Canis lupus familiaris: one gene and its partner. The protein of the gene in region 1 purifies or fractionates together with the protein of each later gene. This does not show direct contact. Links are inferred from orthologs where the notes say so. Each region holds a gene or a part of one and is shown in the gene's direction. Other genes may lie near its edges.

Region 1 (11,030 bases):
AAAAGAAGGGAGCCAAAGATTCTAAATGCTGAGGAAGAGAATGAAGAGAATAGACTCACAAAAGTCAAGAAAAGAGTATGTCAGGAAAGAGGACATGGCCAACCTATGGTGATGTGTATGAGATGAGGAAAATGACCTTTGCATATGATAAATGGATCTCACTGGAAATTAGGATTCTAGGTAACAGAGAGTTGCCCCCAGATTTCGGGGGGACAGCTTCAGGAGTATTCCCTCTTACCTAGGCTTTAAGTGTCCGCACTATGTTGTTCCTCTCTGTCTTGGGTCATCATGGATGACTGATGCTGGCACCTCTCCAGCTGGATCAGTTAGATTTGCTTTCCTAGAAACTAGAAAACAGGACAGAACAGAAAGTCCTGCCTGCTCAGCACTTTTGTCAGGGTGGTAGGAGAACATCTCCTTCAAAAGTTTTTTACATTGCTTAAATAAACTGGAATTGAGTTTTTATGGTTGCATCCACAAATCGTTCATCGTTTCACTCACAACTTCTCAGGAAAACATGTAAAGTCCAATATGGTCATGTTAATCATCCTCCACTATCCTGCTCAGTGTCACAGAAGTATTAACTTACCCTCACGTTACTTATGATGGAGAGTGGTTAATGATTTGCTGCAGACCACAAAGACAGAAGGAGACAGGTCAGGACTTTAAGAGCATGTATTCATAATTTATAGGTCCCCTTCTTTTTCTCTGGGCCTAATTTCATGAGCAATAATGATAATAGTAATAGCAATAATAATCAAAGAGAAAACATAGAGCACTTACCGTGCACCATGCACTGGACAAAATGGTTTGGTTTTATTCACCCCAAACCTATAAGGTCGATACTACTGTTTTCCCCATTTTACAGATGGGGCAACGGAGACACAGAGAGGTTAAGTGACTCAACCAAAGACAACACAAGCACAAATCTCTCTCTGTACAAGGCTTCCAGTTTCATAGATTTTATATATACCTGAGATGATATTGGGAACTTGTAAACTTAACCTATGATTTGCTCAAAAAGTAGACTACTACATACTGAGGCCTTGTTAGTGTTATTTACCCAGATGGGTGAATGGAAGACATTTCAGTGGGCCTTAGGAAAAATTCATGACTTCTTCCTGAATCAGGGTGAAAATAAATTCCTCATTGCTTGTATTTACTCCCAAATCATGTGAGATTCAGTTCGTACTTTCAAGCTTTAACTTTAAGGAGTTATTCATGTCACACAGGACAGATCCACCGTGATCAGTTCCCCTCTGAAGGGCAACTCTGCTCCTCCTGATAAATCCAGGACCTTTTCCCTTCAAGTCATTGCTCTGCTATCCCCTGGGACCTGATGTCCCTGCCAAGGGACTGTTGGATCACCTTCTTACCTGGTGGGAAAGGGGAAAGCCCAGACCTGGGAGTGACTTCTGACTTTTGCAGCTCTTAGCCACATTCTTACCTGTGTTCCAGGAAAGCGGGGACATGTTGCCTAAGGCTACAAGGCCACCGGCCCAGCTATATGGTTTATTCTGTTCAAGTGAACAATCTTAATGCCGGGGGTGGGGGGGTGGAGGAAGCCAGCCTACACAGCTAAGACTCTCCACAAAACCAAACACACTGGGATCACACCAAAGGATACAGGGGTAAAGTGGCAGTCTGTGGCATGCTTAAAGAACCTAAGAACAAGAAAGCGGGAACTCACTAGAAAACCAACGTAATTTTTCCCTAATCTGCTGATACTAGGCAAGGTGGGATTTAAACCCTAAAAACCTGGGCTCGCAGTCAGGATAGGCTGCATGCAGACCATAGAACCATCATCACCTGTTAACTGAAGGGACCTCGGAAGTCTAAGATTCTGTCCGATAATAAACGAAGGCACTTGATTAAAGCACCTTTTAAGTGGACCTATAGCACGTGTACGTTAGGTGGTCTTGGAGGAAGATCAGAACCTCTGGATGCAATTCAGTGGAGAGGCGGACAGGTCCTCCCCCCCACCCCCCCAGGATGCCTCACGACGGACAGGCATGAAGGGGTCAAATTTAGAATGGGAGCACAGTTGCCTGGGCGAATGGAGACCCAACTAGGTGTAGTCTGCCGAAGTAAGAAATTCACAGCGATAGTACAAAGTGAGCACCTCTTTCTGTAGACTAGATAGGTGGCCCTGAAAAGGGCCTTTGGTTGCAAACTGGGATTTCCTGGAGCTGAACTCACAACTCAGCCGCCGAAGCCGTAGAGGGTGCGGCCCTGGCGCTTGAGCGCGTAGACCACGTCCATGGCCGTGACCGTCTTGCGCTTGGCGTGCTCCGTGTAGGTGACGGCGTCCCGGATCACGTTCTCCAGGAACACCTTGAGCACCCCGCGGGTCTCCTCGTAGATGAGGCCCGAGATGCGCTTGACGCCGCCGCGCCGGGCCAGCCGCCGGATGGCGGGCTTGGTGATGCCCTGGATGTTGTCGCGCAGCACCTTGCGGTGGCGCTTGGCGCCGCCCTTGCCCAGCCCCTTCCCGCCCTTGCCGCGACCAGACATGACCACACCAGAACCTCCCGAGCCTGCACGGCACTACCGGCTGCCGCCACGCCGCACTTTTATAACAATGTGACGGACCTGTTTGAAAACCGCAAGCGCAGGGGCGGATCCACACTCCGTTCCCGCCCATCGCCCTTCTAGCCTTTGCTCAGACTGTGCAGACCCGGAAGGCCGGGCGCCCCAAGCGGAGTCTGTGCCGGGGGAAGGGGATTCCGTAAATCCTCTCGAGTATGTGATCCGTGCAATGGCCTTGCAGCACTTGCAGCCTCTATGCCGGCCACCCGCTATGCCGGGCACCAATGCATACGCTTTCCACAAAGACCTCGTCCTTCACATTTCCCAAACAAGGGCAGAAATATTTAGATCCTCCTCGCTGTTGTCCCTAGGAGAGGTTTTCAATAAAATTTGAAGCTAATCCTATCTGTATTGCTAAGATTCTGTTCGTGTTATCGACCGATGGGTGTCCGGTCCCTACGGAGGGCGGCTGGCTGGGATGCAGGCTGTCCGGTCCCTGCGGAGGGAACGGACAGAATCGCCTTAAACATTTCAAAGTCAAGTCAGGTTCCACACTGAAGGCTGCGCTGAGCATATGCCACAGTGAGGAGAGCCTGGTTCTGCTGTGAGTCTCCACTCTGCGACTTCAGTGTATACTTAGTTATGCACAGCTTACAGGTAGCGCGGTGTCCGCCTCCACGTTCTGGTGCTCCGGCCTTTGGCATGACCTAGAACGCGGCTCTGGACACAGCCTGCCGCCGTGCTACCTACAGGACCTCGGGCGGGCTATACTCGCTTCTTTTCCTTTCCAAATGTATAAGAAAGTCTAAGTCATAGAGCATTGAATTTTCAAAGGGAAAACCCATGTAAAGCGTTTACTATCCGCAAATATGCACTCACAAAATGATTATGATATATTATTGTGGATGTTTCTCTGCTCCTTCACTCACTATTCGCTCCTCGGAATAATGAGCCTAACAGAGCATCCTAGTTTCCTACAACTTTCTTTCCAGAACTCCTTAAAAATAATAAGCACTGAAAGATTGAATTCAGCACTAATCCGTTTGTGGAGTTCTAGTTGACTTTGTGGGGATTTGGCTTCTCCCCAAGGGTCTGTGAGGAGGACATAGTTCATTAAAGCTGATTTCTGAGTTTGTGGGCGGTGCATGGGAAAAATGCCCGACTTGTGTTCTTACTCTCTGATACAATGACAGGATTTAAGACATCTAGGAACTTGTATAGAACATAAGTCCATCTTTATCTGTACTATCCCTCAATTGAAGCTTAGCATTTCTTCCATTTACGAATATAGGCAGCAAACTTCGATGGGCGGGACCTGTCCTGTGTGCATGTCACCTAAACTGAAGCTCTCAGTGTTTTCAAGACCATTTAGACACTTTATTCCTTCTACACTGTGTTCATTCTTGCTCACAAGAGCTATCTTGTGACTCTAACGGATTAATAAAAAAACACATCTGTTAGGATGCCTAAGTGGTTGAGCATCTGCCTTTGGCTCATGGCCTGATGCCTGGGTCCTGGGATCTAGTCCCACATTGGGTTCCCGGCAGGGAGCCTGCTTCTCCCTCTGAATATGTATCTGCCTCTCTCTGTGTGTCTTTCACAAATAAATAAATAAAATCTTTAAAAAGAAACCACACACATCTGTTAACACTTTACAGTTTGGGGATTTGATAAAGGTATTGTAATATTAATTCTTTCCCATTATAATCCAATGTATATTCTCTTAAACTCTTAAAAACATTGTCCTGGCAAGGGGCCCATAAGCCTTATCAGATATATAAAGAAGCCCTTGACATGAACAAAGAAGGGTCAAAGGGATCTTCAGAGCCTTGAAAGACTCTGGGTTTTGAAAATGTGCACAGAGAAGCATTAGGAAATGACATGAATGTTGGCATGAAATGAATACGTAATAGTAACCTGATGGAGGTGTGTAAGGGTAAATGGCAATAATTTTCTCCTCTTAGCAACAGGAAAGAGATTATAGGGAGAGTGTAGTACAGTGGAGACAGGTGCAAAGGCAAATACCCACCAAGTGCCCAGAAATACAAGTTTGATATTTAGGCAAAAGGACCAATTTGAAGAGACAGTCTTCGAAGTTACTCACATTGACGTGACTCATAAGCCCATCCATGAAGGTGATAGGGGTAGTACCTTGGAGAGACTCCCTACACTGACATGTCCAAGAAACAGCTCTTCCTTGGTGGCACTGCGTCTCTTTGGGTATAATCTTGACTCTCCTATTTCTTGTATGGACTAAATACTGTCACAGCCTTATGACTCAATGTCTCTGCAATTCCTGGAGTATTAATTATCAAAGAATAATTATCAGATTATCAAAGAATAATCTTCAAATGAGTTTCAAAACCAACTATAATGAATCAAAACCACTTTTTTTCAAAACCACTTTAAAAGAATTAAGAATATGTAAGCTCTATAAAAAGTGAATACACAAAGTAAAAATTATTTATACTAAGCTGATATCTCACCCCTCTTTATCATGTTAATATTTAACCTATAGTGACATTAATTTTCATGTTTCACTTGGATTGACTGAAAGGAATAATCAGTCATTTCTTGATTTTGAGGGGATAATAAAGGAAAGTGAAACCTTCCCCCTCTTGAGCTTTGCTGTGTTTCCTTCTTTCACTGTCATAGTGGAACACAGATTGGTTCATGTTTCAAAATAAATATAATATGTTAAAGAGAAAAAAGGAATTTGTGAAGAAAATCACATTAAATCACTTCCTACCATAAACCTATTTCCCATTCAACAGTAAGCATAAGTTGTAATGTGATGCCTTCCATAAATGAAAAATATACTAGTGAATATAAAACACACTTTTAAAAAAGGTCCCCCTCTCAAGGGAATGCCATAAGTGTGTGCATGTCTGTGTGTGTTGTGCATGTATATAATCTTTGTTACTTTAATACCTTCCAAATTTCTCTTTCTCAAGAATGGCAGATTTCTATACCCAAACTTGTACACATTTTAGTAACTGATCTCTACCAAGAAAATCAATATAAGATAATATTTTCAACTAATAAAGGTACCCAACTTCTCTTATGCCACTTCTAAATCTCCTATCATCATCTAAAACAAACATAAGCCAAACAACCAGGTCAGCAGCATCATACTTGCTGCATTTCCCATTTTTCTAGACAAATATTGAATGCAGAAACCCCAAACTAACTCTGCAAATTGTTACTAGAAGCTATGATAAAGGTTTTACAGACAAAATAATGACCGTTCTTGTCAGAATTAGCAGTTCTTCCAAGAATCCTTTACTATCATTCTTGTAGAGAAATGGGGAGAGAGCCTGTGTTATTTCCCTTCATATGAAACAGGTTTTCTGGCTAAATCTCGATGAGAACTAAGCAGCTGTTGAACATATGAGAAGCCAAGAATGTATAGAATAACCCTAGAGAGCAAGTTATTGAAAGCACAAAGCGAAGAATTTATATTTTAAAGGAAAATCAAGAAGTTGTCTCTCTGACCTGTGAATCTCTCAGGGTGTCAGGGGCTTTTGAAAAGAGCTGAAACCCAGATGATGAAAACTGGAAGAAGAAAACACGAAGATGTCAAAGCATGAGGGGTCCCGCTTCGCTATAGAGTGTAATCAGCGTGATTCCTCCCCAGGAAATTTTAATTTTTTTGCTTTCCCCAACTGTAACAAACACAATTCCGGGACAGAGCTGACACCAGGCTGCTGTCAAGTTGGAGGACTGAGCTCGGAGCCAATCAGCGCGCGGCGTCCTTGTTGTATATATACACACGCACACACGCACGCCGAACCAAGCAGCTCAACTCCGAGACTCGATTAATATTATTTTTTCCTTTCATCTTCAGGAACCAAAACCCACTATGTCCGAGACCGCTCCTGCCGCGCCTCCAGCCCCGGCCCCCGCGGAGAAGACGCCGGTGAAGAAGAAGGCCCGCAAGTCCGCCGGCGCAGCCAAGCGCAAGGCGTCCGGGCCCCCGGTGTCCGAGCTCATCACCAAGGCGGTGGCCGCGTCCAAGGAGCGCAACGGCCTCTCCTTGGCCGCGCTCAAGAAGGCGCTGGCGGCCGCCGGCTACGACGTGGAGAAGAACAACAGCCGCATCAAGCTGGGCCTCAAGAGCCTGGTGAGCAAGGGGACCCTGGTGCAGACCAAGGGCACCGGCGCCTCGGGCTCCTTCAAGCTCAACAAGAAGGCGGCCTCCGGGGAGGCCAAGCCCAAGGCCAAGAAGGCGGGCGCGGCCAAGCCCAAGCGGGCGGCGGGGACGGCCAAGAAGCCCAAGAAGGCAGCGGGGACCGGCACCCCCAAGAAGAGCGCCAAGAAGACTCCGAAGAAGGCTAAGAAGCCCGCCGCGGCCACCGTCGCCAAGAAGGTGGCCAAGAGCCCCAAGAAGGCGAAGGCGGCCAAGCCCAAGAAGGCGGCCAAGAGTCCGGCCAAGACCAAAGCCCCGAAGCCCAAGGCAGCCAAGCCCAAGGCGGCCAAACCCAAGAAAGTGGCCGCCAAGAAGAAATAAGAATACAGAGTAGTTTAGGATCTTTTTAAAGGCTCTTTTCAGAGCCACCCAAACCTCTGAAAAGAGCTGCGGCACTCTGCGGGGAAGGGGGCGTGGCGGGAGGGGAGACTGGCGAGCCCGGAGCGGCACCTACAGGGGCGCCTGTTAAGTGCACACGGGCCTGGGGAGATTTCAAATGGGACAATGATTTCTCCTCTAGTCTGGTAAGTGCGCTGGTTCAACCTAAATTGGCCCGTAGTCCACACGGCGCAATAGGACTAATATACATAGGGGAGAAGTTACTTGCAAAACGAACTTTGAAACCGATTTGCCACTTAATAGAAAGTTCTCCAGCCACCGGGGATCTTTATACTGTATTGGTAGAAAACTATGAAGTATCTCGATGGTCTTTCCATTATCTTAATCATGGAATTGCGCCATCTCCTCAACAAGCACTTGCCCACCAGCTCCAATACCTAGGACGTCAGTTTGGCCACCAGTGGCCACCAGGCTTCCGCTGCGCAACACCCATCCTAGTGGAGGAAGTTTTCTAACAAAAGCTGTCCACACACACTTCTCCGTTACACTACCTCAAAGTTAAAATACATATTGGCGTTGAAGAAGACTTTATAGTAACCTTTGGTAGCCAAGTCTAGACCTTCTGATTGGGTCGAAGCACAGTAACGAGGCAGCCAATGAAACGCTAGAATTGCAAGTACCTTTTACATTCGTATTTGTGACGACACAGTAAAATTAATCCAATCGTAAATGATCTTACTAACCTCATTCGAATGCCTCCTCTATAAATAAACGGGGTCTTACGGTGGCTTATATTTTCCTCCCGCTTTACTGAACGTGTGGTATTCAAGGTCACTATGCCAGAACCCACCAAGTCCGCGCCGGCCCCGAAGAAGGGCTCCAAGAAGGCGGTGACCAAGGCGCAGAAGAAGGACGGCAAGAAGCGCAAGCGCAGCCGCAAGGAGAGCTACTCGGTGTACGTGTACAAGGTGCTGAAGCAGGTGCACCCCGACACGGGCATCTCGTCCAAGGCCATGGGCATCATGAACTCGTTCGTCAACGACATCTTCGAGCGCATCGCGGGCGAGGCGTCGCGCCTGGCGCATTACAACAAGCGCTCGACCATCACGTCCAGGGAGATCCAGACGGCCGTGCGCCTGCTGCTGCCCGGGGAGCTGGCCAAGCACGCCGTGTCCGAGGGCACCAAGGCCGTCACCAAGTACACCAGCTCCAAGTAAACGTGCCAAGTAAGCGTCTCCTTCCCAACCCCAAAGGCTCTTTTCAGAGCCACGCATGCTTTCAACAAATGAGCTATAATGCTTTCTAAAAACTATTCTCAAATGCACCCTAATCAAGTTTACTCTAAGATCGATACATCGCTACGGCTCTATAATTTTCTCTTAGGATTGCGTAGCAAGGATGCCACAATTCCCGGTCGATAACCATACCCATCATAAATTGAGCGCTCGCTATGCCCAAAACCGGTTCTGTACAACCATTATTCCTTAGTTTCACAACACTAAACCTCAATTTTAAATGAAAATGCCATTTCAAGTGTACAGCTCTCCTTCCTGTGCGCAGGCTCCAAATTCATCGTGACATTCAAGGACTTGGGTAAGAACGGTTTCCCCAGAGCACAAAGCATGCTGTAAAAACTGTTTTGCTCAGAGCTTTTCTTTTCCTTTTCAGCATATAGATATGCAATAATGAAAACGAGCTTAAGACAACATGAGTTTTCATGGAAATCTTACACAGGCTTTTCTGGCTTGCTAGCTTTGCAATAATGCCCATTTCTGCTGGTGGGGGAGGTAGGGTGGGGATCAGGGAGGAGGAGTCTGTGCTGTATCCTAAAGGCGCAGACAGACAGGAAAGGGAACCTGTCCTGACTTGGAAGGGCTTTCAAATCCTGTCAGCTACTATAGCTTCTCTCCTACAAAGTCCTATTGCATTGCCGGTCTTCTTCCAGCATCCTTAGCTGGGAAGACCCCAGGGTCACAAGAGAGAAGCCCACTACTCAATCCCATAAAGTGTCTGACTGGAGAGGCAAAAGTTACCCCAGGACTGAGGCCCCCTTTCCTCCCCTGGCCCCTTGCCCCGTGTCCCTGAGAGGCGAGGACTGAGAGGAGGTAGAAAGGGAAAGAAAGCCCTTCCCGGGAGGATGTGGCTTCTGCTGCACAAGGTCAGATGGCATAAAGGGTTTCTGCTGCTGCTGGGAATGGATTATTGTGGGGAAAAGAAATCTGGGGGAAAAAGCTGGGGAGCTGGGAGGAACTGGCCAGGGGGTAAGCAGTCAACAGTTGAGAGTTCACCCAAGAAAACGGATGAGATTATCTTTCCAGGTGTAGCTGACACACTCACCGGTTCCATCCTCAGGGTAGAAGGATGAACTAGAAATGAGCACACGACCAGACAGCACATGGGCACCCCCACACACCCACTCGCCCAGAAGATGGCAACAGTGTGTGCTCACCCTCCGTGCTGAGCAAGGTAGATTGTGCCACCCACAATTCCGACCACCACTCACTTGCTTCTGGCACTGACATCACAGGGATTCGGAATACCCAGGCTGAGGATTAACTCTGAGATCTCCCAAGCTGGCTTTGTACCCCTGAGCACCCGCTCAAGGCAAATACAAATCCTCTCTGAAGGAATAAGCTTCATTTTTGGTCTCAGCAAATCCTCCACACATAAGATAGCAAAGAAAATGAAAGAGCAGCTTCACAACCAAAATCAACACAGGATTCAACAAGACAATGTAACCAACAAGAAGAGAAGCACACAGTGGAAACAAAAGGAGTAAAAAGAAAATGAACAGATACAAACTTCAAGTTGCTAACTTGAATATCTTTAAAAAGGAAAAGGAAAACACTAAGTGAAATATGCTGAGGGATTAAGAATACAAAGAATTTTCCAAAAAGAGTCGAAAGAACCAAATACGACTTCCAGAAATGAAGGTGTGGATATACACGTTAATTTACATTAATCATATGAAAATTAAAATTAAAGGCTTGCTAAATGGACCAAAAAAATCAATAGGCTCCAGATGAAGAATTTTCATGAATTCTGTAAGCAGACCTTATTTATCCAAAATGCAGGGAGAGAAATGTAAAAGTGAGTTTAAGAGATCTGGAATTAGTAGTAAAATTGTCTGCCATGTATCTAATCATGGCACCACAAGAACAACCAGAGAGATTGATGCTGGTGTGAGCTTCCAATGATCATGGCTGAGAATTTTTCAGAGTTAATGGATTACTCATGTAACTCAAAATCAATAAAATAGGGTAAAACTCATACACCAAAACGGACGTCACTCTGTCACACTGTGAACCAAACCCCATAAATTCTCCCAACAAATGTAAAGCTAGTTTTCTAATCTGTTCTGCTAGATGGCAATAGACTGAAGCACTGTTATAAATTCCTGAGAGTGGGAGGATAATTGGCAAATAGATTATTTACATGCACTTGATATCTATCTGATTACCAAATTTTGCAAAACCTAATCAATATGTGATGATTTAATGGACTGTTACATATAGTACTATCATTAGCAGACCAGAAACTTTGATATTTTTTCCAATAACTATTTCTGTAACTATTTTTATCATGGTATTGTGTTAGTTAATGTCACACGCTATATGCCATGTTAAGGCATCACCGTCATTTTCTTCCTTTTCACTAAAGTGGCTTTAGTAGTTCCTGACTTGTTAAAAACCTGTTTGCTTGCATGCATGGATATGTATATAATCTGTGTGTGTTGGTTAGTTTCCTTCTAAATATATTTTTAAAGGTTTATTATGAATGATGTGTGAATTTTCGGTATTTGATGAAATCAAGGGCTTTTCCTCCTCTAGCCTGCTACAATAAATTACGAGTAGATTCCCTAATGCTACCCTATACTCGTATTCCAAGGCCAAATCTTCTTTGGTCATTTTCTATTAGTATCTTAAATACTGGCTGCGCACATTTTAGATTTCCGGGGGATTTTTCCTCCTCT
Region 2 (11,737 bases), on another chromosome or scaffold:
GCGATCATTTTGTGACATATACAAATATCAAATCATTATACCTGAAACTAATATAATGGTTTTTTAAAAAAGATTTTTATTTATTTATTCATGAGAGACACAGAGAGAGACAGAGAAAGAGAGAGAGAGAGACACAGGCAGAGGGAGAAGCAGGTTCTATGCAGGGAGTCCGATGTGGGACTCGATCCTGGGACTTCAGGATCACACCCTGGGCCAAAGGCAGGCGCTAAACCACTGAGCCACCTAGGAATCCCTAATAGAATGTTAAATGTCAATTATACCTCAATAAAAATAAACAGAGCAGATTGCTTTCCCTAATTCGGTGGGCCTCATCCAATCAGCAAAAGGACTGAAGAGAACAGAAGCACTGAGTAAGAGAAAATTCCTGCCTATCTCTGAGCTGTGACAGGAGTGCTCTCCTGCCTTTTGACCCAAACTGAAACACTGGCTCTTTCTGAGTCTCCAACTCAGAATTGTTGCGAAGAATAGAGGATCCAAGAATGTTGCATAAGGTTATGAGAACTGGTAAAAAAAAATTACAATTCAGTACATGGAGACACTTGGAATGAGAAAAGAAACCCATAAAGGAGATAACCATATCTAATAGAGTAAAAGACAACCTCAGTAAATAATTCTCTCAAGACTGATAGGATCATATCATAATCAAAGTAAATGATTCAGAGAAAATGTGAAAATAGAAGAACTCTAGGGCAGCCCGGGTGGCTCAGCAGTTTAGCAGGTGGCTCAGCGGTTTAGCACTGCCTTCAGCCCAGGGTGTGATCCTGGAGACTGGGGATTGAGTCCCTCGTCAGGCTCCCTGCATGGAGCTTGCTTTTCCTCTGCCTGTGTCTCTCATGAATAAATGAATGAATGAATGAATGAATGAAAGAAAGAAAGAAAGAAAGAAAGAAAGAAAGAAAAGGAAGGAAGGAAGGAAGGGAGGGAAGGGAAGGAAGGAAAGGAAGGAAAGGAAGGAAGGAAGGAAGAAAGAAAGGAAAGGAAAAGAAAGAAAAGAAAAGAAAAGAAAAGAAAAGAAAAGAAAAGAAAAGAAAAGAAAAGAAAAGAAAAAAGGAAAGGGAAAATAGAAGAACTCTATACCTAATTTTAGAAATTGGCAAGTTTCCTAAAATGGTGTGTCAACTCTACATATATCATTTCACTGAGAGCATTACGGTGTTAGAAATATATTTTAATATAGGTTTTTTTGTATCATTAAATTCTTATTGCCTGCAAAGAAAAAAATGTGCCAAAATTACTAAAAAGTTTTATAGAAAATCTAATTCAAATTTTAAAAATCAAAAAGCAAATTAAATAATGTTTACTGAACTTTTAAAATGCACAAATTAATCAGCGTAATGTGGCAACTTCTGTTTTCATATTGTACCAGCTTACGGACATATCCAACATTTTATCCTCTACAAGGTCTTCTTAATATTCAATCAAAGGCAAGAATCTAGCTTTCTTTTTTTCTTTTTATCTTTTTAAAAATCTAGCTTTCACTGTAGTCAACTGCTTTGTACTTACTTTGTTTCCTAAGTGAGTGATCTTCAGAATTCCATCTTGCCACACTTTTGACTTCTTCATCTTTTGATGAGTATACAGTACCTTATTTTCAAAAGTACAAAAGAAATGGTTTCTATTTATATGTATTAAATATTATACATCCTTATACCCTTCCCCACATATAAAAAATATTTAGGTATCTTTTATTGAAATAAAAGACACCATAACAATAACAACAAAACATCAGGGCCCCTGACGGGCTCAGCCGGTAGAGCATACAACTCTTGACTCAGGCTTGTACATTCAAGCTCCATGTTGGACATAGAGCTTACATTAAATAAATAACAAAACATCAATTTCAAAAAACAAAACTCGGTAGTAAAAGAAAAAACAGGGTAGAAAGGACACATAAAATTTAAGGAGAAAACTGAAAACTAAACAAAAAAAATAATTTGGGGCTTCTCGGTCATCAGTGGGAAGGAAAAAATCTGTTGGGTTACACATAGTCATAATCTATACTCAAAATGTAGTCCAGAGACTCCTAGAGATTTCCAAGACTTTTTTCAGGGGTCTTAAGGTCAAAACTATTTTCTTGATGCTATTTGTCTTTTTACTCTCATTTCTTTGGGAATGCATAGTCATCTCCCAGGGTTATGTAGGTGCAATGTTGCAAGATTCAATTTCAGACTGAATGCAGGGGTGGATCTAAGAATTTAGCTGTGTTCTATGAAATCAAATGCTAAGGGGATTTGCAAAAAAATGTATATAGCAATGCTACTCTTTTCAGTGTGTTTTTTTCTGTTGTTGTTTTGGAAAATATAGCTATTTCCATTTAAAAAGTGATTTATGTTCAATATAACAGGCTATTTTTAATGAATTAACAAATACTTTTTATATTTGTTATAATTTCTCATATGAAAGACATCAATAGATATAAGCCCCATAATCAAAATTCTCTGGGGTAATATTTTGAGTATGGGGATCCCTGGGTGGCTCAGCGGTTTAGCGCCACCTTCAGCCCAGGGCATGATCCTGGAGACCCGGAAATGAGTCAGCCCTGTATGGAGCCTGCTTCTCCCTCTGCCTGTGTCTCTGCCTTTCTCTCTCTCTCTCTCTCTCTCTGTCTCATGAATAAATAAAATCTTTAAAAAAAATTTTTTTAAATAGAGGATTAAAAAAAGAAATAAAGGAAATAGTGAAAACTGGTATACAACTCACAATAAATTCCTGGCTTTCCATTATTTCTTCTAAAATTATAAATCAGTCTGGTCCAGAATATAGTCGTGGTTATTCAATTATTTATATGATCTAAAATGAAAATAGACAAGAAATATCCAACTCTGATGAAAATAATATCAAATTCAACTGTTTCCTATAAACTCTTTTTTTTCCCCATAAACTCTTGACATGAGAAAGGAATAAGAATTCTAAGACTGGGGATCCCTGGGTGGCGCAGCGGTTTGGCGCCTGCCTTTGGCCCAGGGCGCGATCCTGGAGACCCGGGATCGAATCCCATGTCGGGCTCCTGGTGCATGGAGCCTGCTTCTCCCTCTGCCTGTGTCTCTGCCTCTATCTCTCTCTCTCTGTGACTATCATGAATAAATAAATAAAATATTAAAAAAAAAAAAAAAAGAATTCTAAGACTATGTGACTACCAAGGGAAACCCAGGTGTAATCAAATTATCTGATACTAAGCACACAATAAAAAAGTGACCCCATCCTGTGGAAAATGAATTTGCCAAGTAAAGAGAAAACTAAGTAAAATATATGAAATAATTAGCAGTGTGCAAAGCTCTTTTCCAAGTGCCCTAACATGCATCAGAAAATGATCCCTCTTCCCCCAACATTTAAATTCCTTATGGAAAGAGCTTCAACTTCCCATTTTCTGAAATGCCACGGCCACCACAAGACAGCCCCCCTTGTGTTTTGAATTTTTCCTTTTATGTCTTTAAGTCAATACATCACAGTATCCAAGGACCTAATACACAAATTTCCTGTGTGAGGAACATTCTTTTCAGTATCATTGCAACAAGTACTGTATTTATCCTATGCTACTAGATAAAACTGTTATTGTGGGCAAATTTGGAAATCTAAATCTACTGTTGGTGAACTGAAGAAGTAAACAGAGATCCCAAAGAAAAAAAAAATTTTCTAAAGAAGTGGTTTCAAAGATAGGATTCCTGGACCAATAGCATCAGGACCACCTGGTAACTAGTTAGAAATTCAAGTTCTTGGGTCCTACACCTGACCTTTTAAATCAGAAAGTCTGAGGTTGGACCCATACTTTGTTTTAATATGCTCTGAAGGTGTTAGTGATACATGCTCAAGTTTGAGAACACAGGGCTAAAAGACCTAGGAGAGATTCAATAAAACCATAATTTACAATTCTGGATTCAATTCCCCCTTCATACATATACCACATACATATTATGTATAAATTACATATATTTATTTAGTACTTGCCAGACACCTAGGTTGAGGTACTAAAATGAACAAATACAATTCCTAATCAAGGCATTCTCAGTAAAGCATGTTGATAAACAGTATTTACAATAAAACATGACAGAAATAAGCATAGGAGGGGCACCCAAATGGGTCTATGGAATCAAATAAGGCTTCCCCCTAAGAATGTAATGTCTAAGCTGTAAACTGAAATAACCATAACCAAAAGAAGATGCCAGGAATGTATTTCCAAAAAGGAATCAATGTATAAGGTCCTGTGAAAGACACACCAAGGCATGACCAAGGAATTCAGTTCAATTAAGGGGTCAAGTTAAGACAATGAATAGTGAGTGAGAGAGAAGATTGAAAAAAATGAGCAATAGGAGTCAGAGGGCCTTCTATGCTATGCCAAGTTGTTTGAATTTTCTATAAAGGGAGTGCAAATGGTAGGGTTTTAAGAATAAGATTACATAATCTAACTTGGGTTTTACAAAGATCGCTCTGGTTGCTGATAGGAGGCATAAGGGAGGGTAGCCCTGGTGGCGCAGCGGTTTAGCGCTGCCTGCAGCCTGGGGTGTGATCCTGGAGACCTGGGGTCGAGTCCCACGTTGGGCTCCCTGCAAGGGGCTTGCTTCTCCCTCTGCCTGCATCTCTGCCTCTCTCTCTGTGTGCTCTCATGAATAAATAAATAAAATCTTTAAAAAATAAAATACTAAAATCTTTAGAAGAGGCCTAAGTCCTACGTTCAAAGGAGTAAAAAAAAAAAAAAACAAAGGAGTTAAAATACCGTTTACCGTTAAATAGTTGAAATGGTATCAGCTAACAACATGGCATTTAAGTGAAAAGTAAAAACAAAAAAGAAAAAAAGAAAAAATCTGGGGACGCCTGAGTGGTTCAGCCCTTGAGTAGACCTCGGCCTCCCGCTCAGGGCGTGATCCCGGATCCAGTCCCGCGTCGGGCTCCCTGCATGGAGCCTGCTTCTCCCTCTGCCCGTGTCTCTCTCTGCCTCTCTCTCTCTCTCTCTCTCTGTGTGTGTCTCTCATGAATAAATAAATAAAATCTTTAAGAAAAATTTTTTTTCTAAAAATCATCTACGTCAAATGTTGACCCACCTCCAACGGGTAAAAGTTCAACGTGCAAAGTTTTAAAAGCGGTAGGGATACCTCAGATGTCTGCAATAATTATATAACCACAGATGTGCACATTACCTCCCCAAAGACATTACCCATACGTCCCTATGCTGCTTTATACATTCATATATAAAATTCTGTGTTCTCCATAAAATATGAACCAGTCTTATTTATGTTTAAGTACGAGGAGATGTTTTTGGTCTTTTTATTTTGGAACAAGCAAGATCTTTAGAATCCCTAAATAGTTCAGATTTAAAAGTTCCAGAGTCTCAAACCCAGTATCCTGTTAAGAAGTCGCTCAGTCCAAATGACCCAGAGAAGCCCACATTTCATTGCCAAGATAATAATTACCATGATTCTGTGTAACCGAATGGCAGTGAGACTTGACCCTCTGTCAGGCCTAGATAAACACAAAGAGCAAAACTCTCTCTGGTCCTTACACTTATTGCCGGAAGTGCAACGCAGAGGCTGGAAAGGCTGTCACTCCCCACACCTGGTTCCAAACAGCACCAGCAACGGCTCGCTTCCGGCGCAATAGAGCCTCTCAACACTTTGCCCTAAATTGCGACGCCGCCTCTCGTTCACATCCCCTTTCCTATCCACCTTCACTCCCAGAGAAGCAGAGGACTTCACCGGTCCGTAAAACACACGTTCGAATTTCTCCCGCGGAAGGCTGTGACGTCATCAACCCGGGACCGCACGGGATCAGGACCCACTACTCAGCCCGCCCACAAGTACCGACGTTTGCAAACCGCCAATCAAAACTTCTCGTGGTCTGTGAGCCTCCTCGGCCAGCCGGGTAACCCGACGCCCCGCCCCTTGCGCCAGCTCACGCCCGTGACGCAAGCGCCGGGCGCGCCGTCTCCGTCCTCGCGCTCGCCTTTTCGGAGGCGTACGGGAGAACCGTGTCGCCCACCCTATGACGCGGAAACCAGCTCTATAAGGATCTGGAGACGGAAAGGTTGGAGGACGAAATCACCGGCCCAGTATTTTGGGAACTGGACAGAGTAAGTTGGAAGTAAACTGTAGATCGTGTCGCTCAGGTTGAGTGAGGCTTCAAGTCTTCTAAGTCCTTTGTCACGCGCTCCATTCTATCATCTGTCGGCCCTTTCACTTCGTCCCCTCCCACAAGCCCATCGGTTTGCTCGTCCTGTTCCTCTGCGCACGCGCAAAGGTCCTTCAGCGGCCCTTGTAGTTCCAGTTTTCGGAGATTGGGGGCGCATATCGTCCGGCTTTAGGAGATCGGGGGCCCGCCCGGTATTGGGCAGCGTACTTGGGAAAGGACTGGTGTCGACGGGGGGCCGTAGCCAGAGGTGAAATCGCCGGGCCTCGTAGATGTGAGCGTTGGCGGCCAAACGATAGCGAGTGTGAGCACTTAAGTTTTTAAAGTTAAGTCACTTTCTTATTTTCGGGATTCTAGTTTTTGTCATCAGAGAATCGAAAAATCCAGTTACGGAAGGGAGCTAACAAATTATAAATGTCAGTGGAGTGTACTGAATGCGTTAATAAATGTGCTTGAGGGAAAATAGATGAGGAGGCAATAAATTAGGGGAGACGTGGTGGTGGAAAGCTGGAGAGAGTAAGATGCCATTTAACGTGGGCCTTGAAAATTGAATAGGAGTTTATAAGGCAAGTAAAGACAAGACTAATTGAAAGAACAGGCACGGTGTTCTGGTACCGTTGAATGGTCAGCCATGGTAGAACAATGACTTAACGTTTTTGACACCGTTTCCTCTAAAAATGGTAAAGGCTATGGATGAGCATCCTAGGAAGATGCATGCACGTCAAGACATTTTACGTATGATTTTGCTGGGAAATTGTGGAACACCTTGAAATGGCCAAGAAAAAAGATACTGGATGTCTTCTCTAGCTGGCTCTTCCAGGTTCTCTCTTTCATTATCATTGAGCTATTTTACATTTGTGTTAGTTGTAGGAAACGATTATAATGGAACTTAAGTCTTGTAGTTAATCAATTTTGTAGTTATGGCCCTAACCAGTTTTGCATCTATTAACAAATTCATTTCAGTGTTCCTGATTGCTTAGATCTTTTAATTCTCCTTTGAACTAGTTTTTTAATAGAATATTTTAAAATTTATTATTTATTTACTCTATTTTAAGTAGACCCCATGCCCAATATGGGCCTTGAACTCTCAACCCCGGGATTGAGTCGCGTGTTCTACTGACTGAGCCAGCCAAGTGTCCCCTCCAGAACTAGTTCTTTTGTTTTGTTTTTTTTTTTAAGATTTTATTTATTCATGAGAGACACGGTGAGAGAGGAAGAGACAGAGGGAGCAGGCTCCTTGCCGGGAGCCGAATGCGGGACTCCACCCCCAGACCCTGGATCACACCCTGAGCCAAAGGCAGAAGGCAGATGCTGAACCGTTGAGCCACCTAGGTGTCCCCTGAACTAGTTTTTTAACACTTAACTAATTCCTTGATTAATTTCACTAAAATAAAATATTTGATACGTATTCATTTTATGTTAATTTATATTTAAATTCCTTTGTTTAAAATTTCTCTTTTGGGGCACCTGGGTGGCTCAGCGGTTGAGCGTTTGCCTTTGGCTCAGGTGGTAACACCGGGTTCCTCAGAATGAGTCCCGGGTCGGTCTCCCCACAGGGAGTCTGCTTCTTCCTCTGCCTCTCTCTGTGTTTCTCATGAATAAATACATAAAATCTAAAATAATAATAATAATAAAATTTATCTTTCATCAATTTCACAGAATTCATAGGAATGTTTGAAACTCACCCAAAATTCCATAGACTTTAGGTTAAGAATATCTGGGTCAGAATACAGAATGTATCATGACAGGCTGTAAGAGGTTCTACTAAAAGGTGGGCAGTGTAAGGGAGTCAGACTTACCAGAGCTTGTTCACTTAACTGAGCATGTTTACCCAGCTGATTTTGGCCAATTCACTTAATTTTTAAGCCTCTGTAAAAAAGAATTTGAAAGGAACCACCTAATTGTGATTGTGAGGATTTAAAACAATATTTAAAGTAACTGGAATTGTTACACAGTACCTTTATTGTTTGTGTAAAAGCCCCTGTTTAGAAGCCAATTTGATGTCACTGATTCATCAACAATTTTTTAAACTTACATATTCTAAGAAGGTACTAAGGAATTTTTAATGTTGAAAAGTTTTAACATTAAAATTAAAAATTAGATCTGTGTTTTAGACAAGTTACACAGCTTATGAGGAGGATGAATGACTTCTAGAACGGTTTATAAATTGTTCCCATATTGTAGTGATACTCTTTGTGGAAAATATTGGAGGGAAATAAAAACCATTCCAGAAGTTAAATCGGTAGGACTTGGTGACAGATTGGTAAATGATAAAATAACGATAATGTTACATTTTGTCAAGTACGTGAGAAGGTAGACTCAGAGGATCAAGACTCACGAAAGTACTGCTATGTGACTTCTTGATTTTCATAGCCATTGCATTGGGAAGTGAAATTATACCATATCTTGTTACTTCTTGTATCTTTCTCTTATGTATGAAAATATATTTGATTATCTACAGGATATGTTTCTTAAGATCACAAATTACAGACAAATGTTAGGCACACTAGGCAAGAGTTTTAGAACTTAGTTTTTCAAGTCACGAAAGTAAACCTTAGAGGTCTCTGAGATGAGAGTGATGGAGAAAATCTGGTTTCGGGAAAAATTTGGACTTTCTGCATTTCTACAGTTCTGTCCACTATTTCCTTAGATAGTGGTTCTGACAAAAGGAATTGGAGAGCTGATAGTCTGTCCTTTACAATTTGGAGTTTTTGCAAAAGAGAAGGTTAGCATTGAATCCTCCTGTATTGATCATTTATAGCTTCTGTTTGTATTTTATTTATAATCCTACCCTTTTTTTTTAAGCCTGCCCCCTTTCAAAAGAACTTGAAATGCTAAACACTTTGTAATAGGAGGTCCTTTTAAATATAGTATTTAAGAAATGGTTGGATTGTGATTAAGCTTAAGTCTCTGCCTTTGTAGTTTTTGCATTCTAGTGGGGTAGACAGACAATAAAATTGTAATTCCAGGTAGCAACAAGAGGATACAAGGAAATAAAGTGGTAGGGTGCCTGGGTGGCTGCCTTTGGGTTGGGTTGTGGTCTCAGGGTCCTGGGATGGCCCCTGCCCTTATCAATGGGACTCCCTGCTTCCCCCTTGCTTGTGCTGTCTCTCATATTCTCTATCTCTAAATAAATAAAATCTTTTTTTTAAAGGATACAAAATTGTGGCAGATGGAATGGATAGGGTTAGGATTGGCAGAACAGAAATGTTTTTAGATTGAGTGAAAGGCCTCTTTGAGAAAGTGACATTTATAGAGACCTGAATGAACAGTGAAGTAATCCCTCCAGATGTGGGGAGGAGGGTGAAGAGAACAGCAAGAGCAAAGGACTTGGGGTGGGAATGGCCTTAGCATGTTTAAGGAATGGTATGTCATAGTTGGAGTGAGCCTGTTGGAAAGAATTGTAAGAAATGTAGTTAGATATCCCCAGGCCAGATCAAATAGTGCCAGGCAGGCCACAGTAAGGGCTTTGGATTTCGAGTATGATAAACCTTTGGAGGATTTTGTCCCAGAGATTGGCATGCTCTGATTTACATATTTAAATGATTGTTTTGGTTACTATCTGGAGAATTGATGGTAATTGATGAAAATGGAAGATAATGATTGATTGGAGAATTGATAATGGAAGAGTAGAAGCAAACACAAGTTACAGTGTTCTTGGAGGAGAGTAGGCAAGACATGATAGTGTGGACCAGGTGGTTGTGAAAATAGAAAGTATTCTTATTTAGGATATATTTTATAAAGTTAGAGCTAACATAAATGCTCCTAGATTTGTTGTGGCATATTAGGAAAAGAATTTCAGAATTTTACTCTCAGCAGTGTTATGATCAGTGTCTTCTGAGTTGGGAATACATGGCAAAAAAAATAGGTTTGAGTTGGGTTTTTGTTATTCTACATAAGAGAAACTCTTAAGATAAATAAGTGGAGATGTCAAATGAGCAATTGAGTGATGGAATGGGGGGCAGCAAATGGGAGAAGTCAGCTCTAGAAAATACAGATTTGTGAAACATCAGCATGGAGCTAAAAAGCTTAAAGCCAGAGACCCTCAGAAAGGATATGTGTGGAGATAAGATGGAAACCCAGGACTGAATAGCAAGTAAAGATAGAGCTAACTAGGATGGTCCAGTAAAGGAGATTAAGAAAACTCTCCTAGAAGCCAAATGAAGAAAAGGTTTTCAAGGAAGTTTAACTGCAGATGCCCCTGAGGGGTTCCAGTAGTCCATGGAGATCACGGGTTTCAATTCACTAGAATGGTGGAAAGAGAAGCCTGACAGAATGGGTTTAAGGGAGAATTTGGGTGAAAAATGGGATTACTCAGCACTAAATGACACTTGATTGGTTTTAACACTGGGATGGGAAAGGTCCCTTGGAAAAGAAAAACCCGCTTCTATAGCTTACCAGTTAAGTTCCGCTTCTAAACAGAAAAACAGTTAAGGGGCATCTGGCTGGCTCAGCCAGTAGAGCGTGGGAGTCTTGACCTGAGGGTTGTAAATTCAAGCCACATTTTGGATAAATTGCTGAAAAATAAGTTCTTTAAAAAAAATTTTTTTAAATAATCAGGAATAAATTATTTACTTGGAGTTTGAGATGGAGAATGTCTGAATCCCTTAATCTTACACTTTGACAGTTTGGATTAAAAGTGTAAAAGTTAAAGTGTAGTTTGGTGTAATACAGACATACTATATAGGAAGATAATCTGGCCCTGCAGTAAAAGTGCATCAAAAAGTAAAGCTAGGATTCAGAGGTAAAACAAGGAAAATGAAAAGTGACAATTAAGAGACTGAAGATGGGTCAAATGAAAATTTCCTTAACTGATTGCTAGGTGTTACCCCAAAGTTTGTCCTCTGCCAGCTGACAGTCTCTTAAGCTTTCGGACAATTAAAGGCTAATAATTATCTGAAAGTCTTCCTATATAAATTTACCTTTTTTCAATGAACAGGAATGGAAACTGAAGGTGGAAATCAAGAAAAGGCAATGGAAGAATGCACTGAAAAGAAAAAAGAAGTAGAAAAAAAGAAACGGTCACGAGTTAAACAAGTGCTGGCAGATATTGCTAAGCAAGTGGACTTCTGGTTTGGAGATGCAAATCTACACAAAGATAGATTTCTTCGAGAGCAAATAGAAAAGTCCAGAGACGGATGTAGGTTTATTTTACTGTACAACAAATGTTAACAATGTAGTATATATATTATGGTACACCACATATTATATACAGGATTAACTTTTATTTTCCCACGTAAAACCCTCATAAAGGACACGAATTTCCTTAAAGGACTTAGTGTAGGATGCAACAAATTCAGACCAAGATTTCAGTTACTTTGATAACATCCTAGTTTTTGTGGTGGAGCTCCTGGCAACTCAGGTAGACTCTTGACATCAGGGTCAATTTGAGCATTACTTTGGGCCTAGAAGTCCAGGGTTTTTCTTATGTGCTTACAGGTTTAATTCCTATGGGTTTTATGCATAAAGGCATTTTATTTACTCCAAAACCAAAACTTAGTTTAGGAGTGTGATTAATATTTTATCCAGAAGTCCTGGCTTGTTACTTTATTATATTCTGTAATGTATTAACTTTTGTATTTCTATTAGATGTTGATAT

What was found.
Region 2: the proteins of histone H1.4-like (region 1) and LARP7 purify together in Homo sapiens (affinity purification with mass spectrometry; 3 studies listed by BioGRID and IntAct, with this or other methods). This does not show direct contact. The link is inferred for Canis lupus familiaris from reciprocal best matches to the Homo sapiens genes H1-4 and LARP7.

The regions. Positions count from the first base shown.
Region 1 is NC_049256.1:25,567,489-25,578,518, forward strand, and holds histone H1.4-like, read left to right. Parts: upstream 1-6,334; 5' UTR 6,335-6,391; coding exon 6,392-7,039; 3' UTR 7,040-7,849; downstream 7,850-11,030. Other genes in the region: H4C4 (H4 clustered histone 4), read right to left, coding at 2,203-2,514; histone H2B type 1-M, read left to right, coding at 7,894-8,274. UniProt on the Homo sapiens protein: Histone H1 protein binds to linker DNA between nucleosomes forming the macromolecular structure known as the chromatin fiber. Histones H1 are necessary for the condensation of nucleosome chains into higher-order structured fibers.
Region 2 is NC_049253.1:7,462,721-7,474,457, reverse strand, and holds the start of LARP7 (la-related protein 7), read left to right. Parts: upstream 1-5,904; 5' UTR 5,905-6,082; intron 6,083-6,255; exon of another isoform or gene 6,256-6,464; intron 6,465-11,077; 5' UTR 11,078-11,079; coding exon 11,080-11,278; intron 11,279-11,727; coding exon 11,728-11,737. Other genes in the region: protein ZGRF1, read right to left, coding at 1,525-1,605, 2,722-2,742. UniProt on the Homo sapiens protein: RNA-binding protein that specifically binds distinct small nuclear RNA (snRNAs) and regulates their processing and function.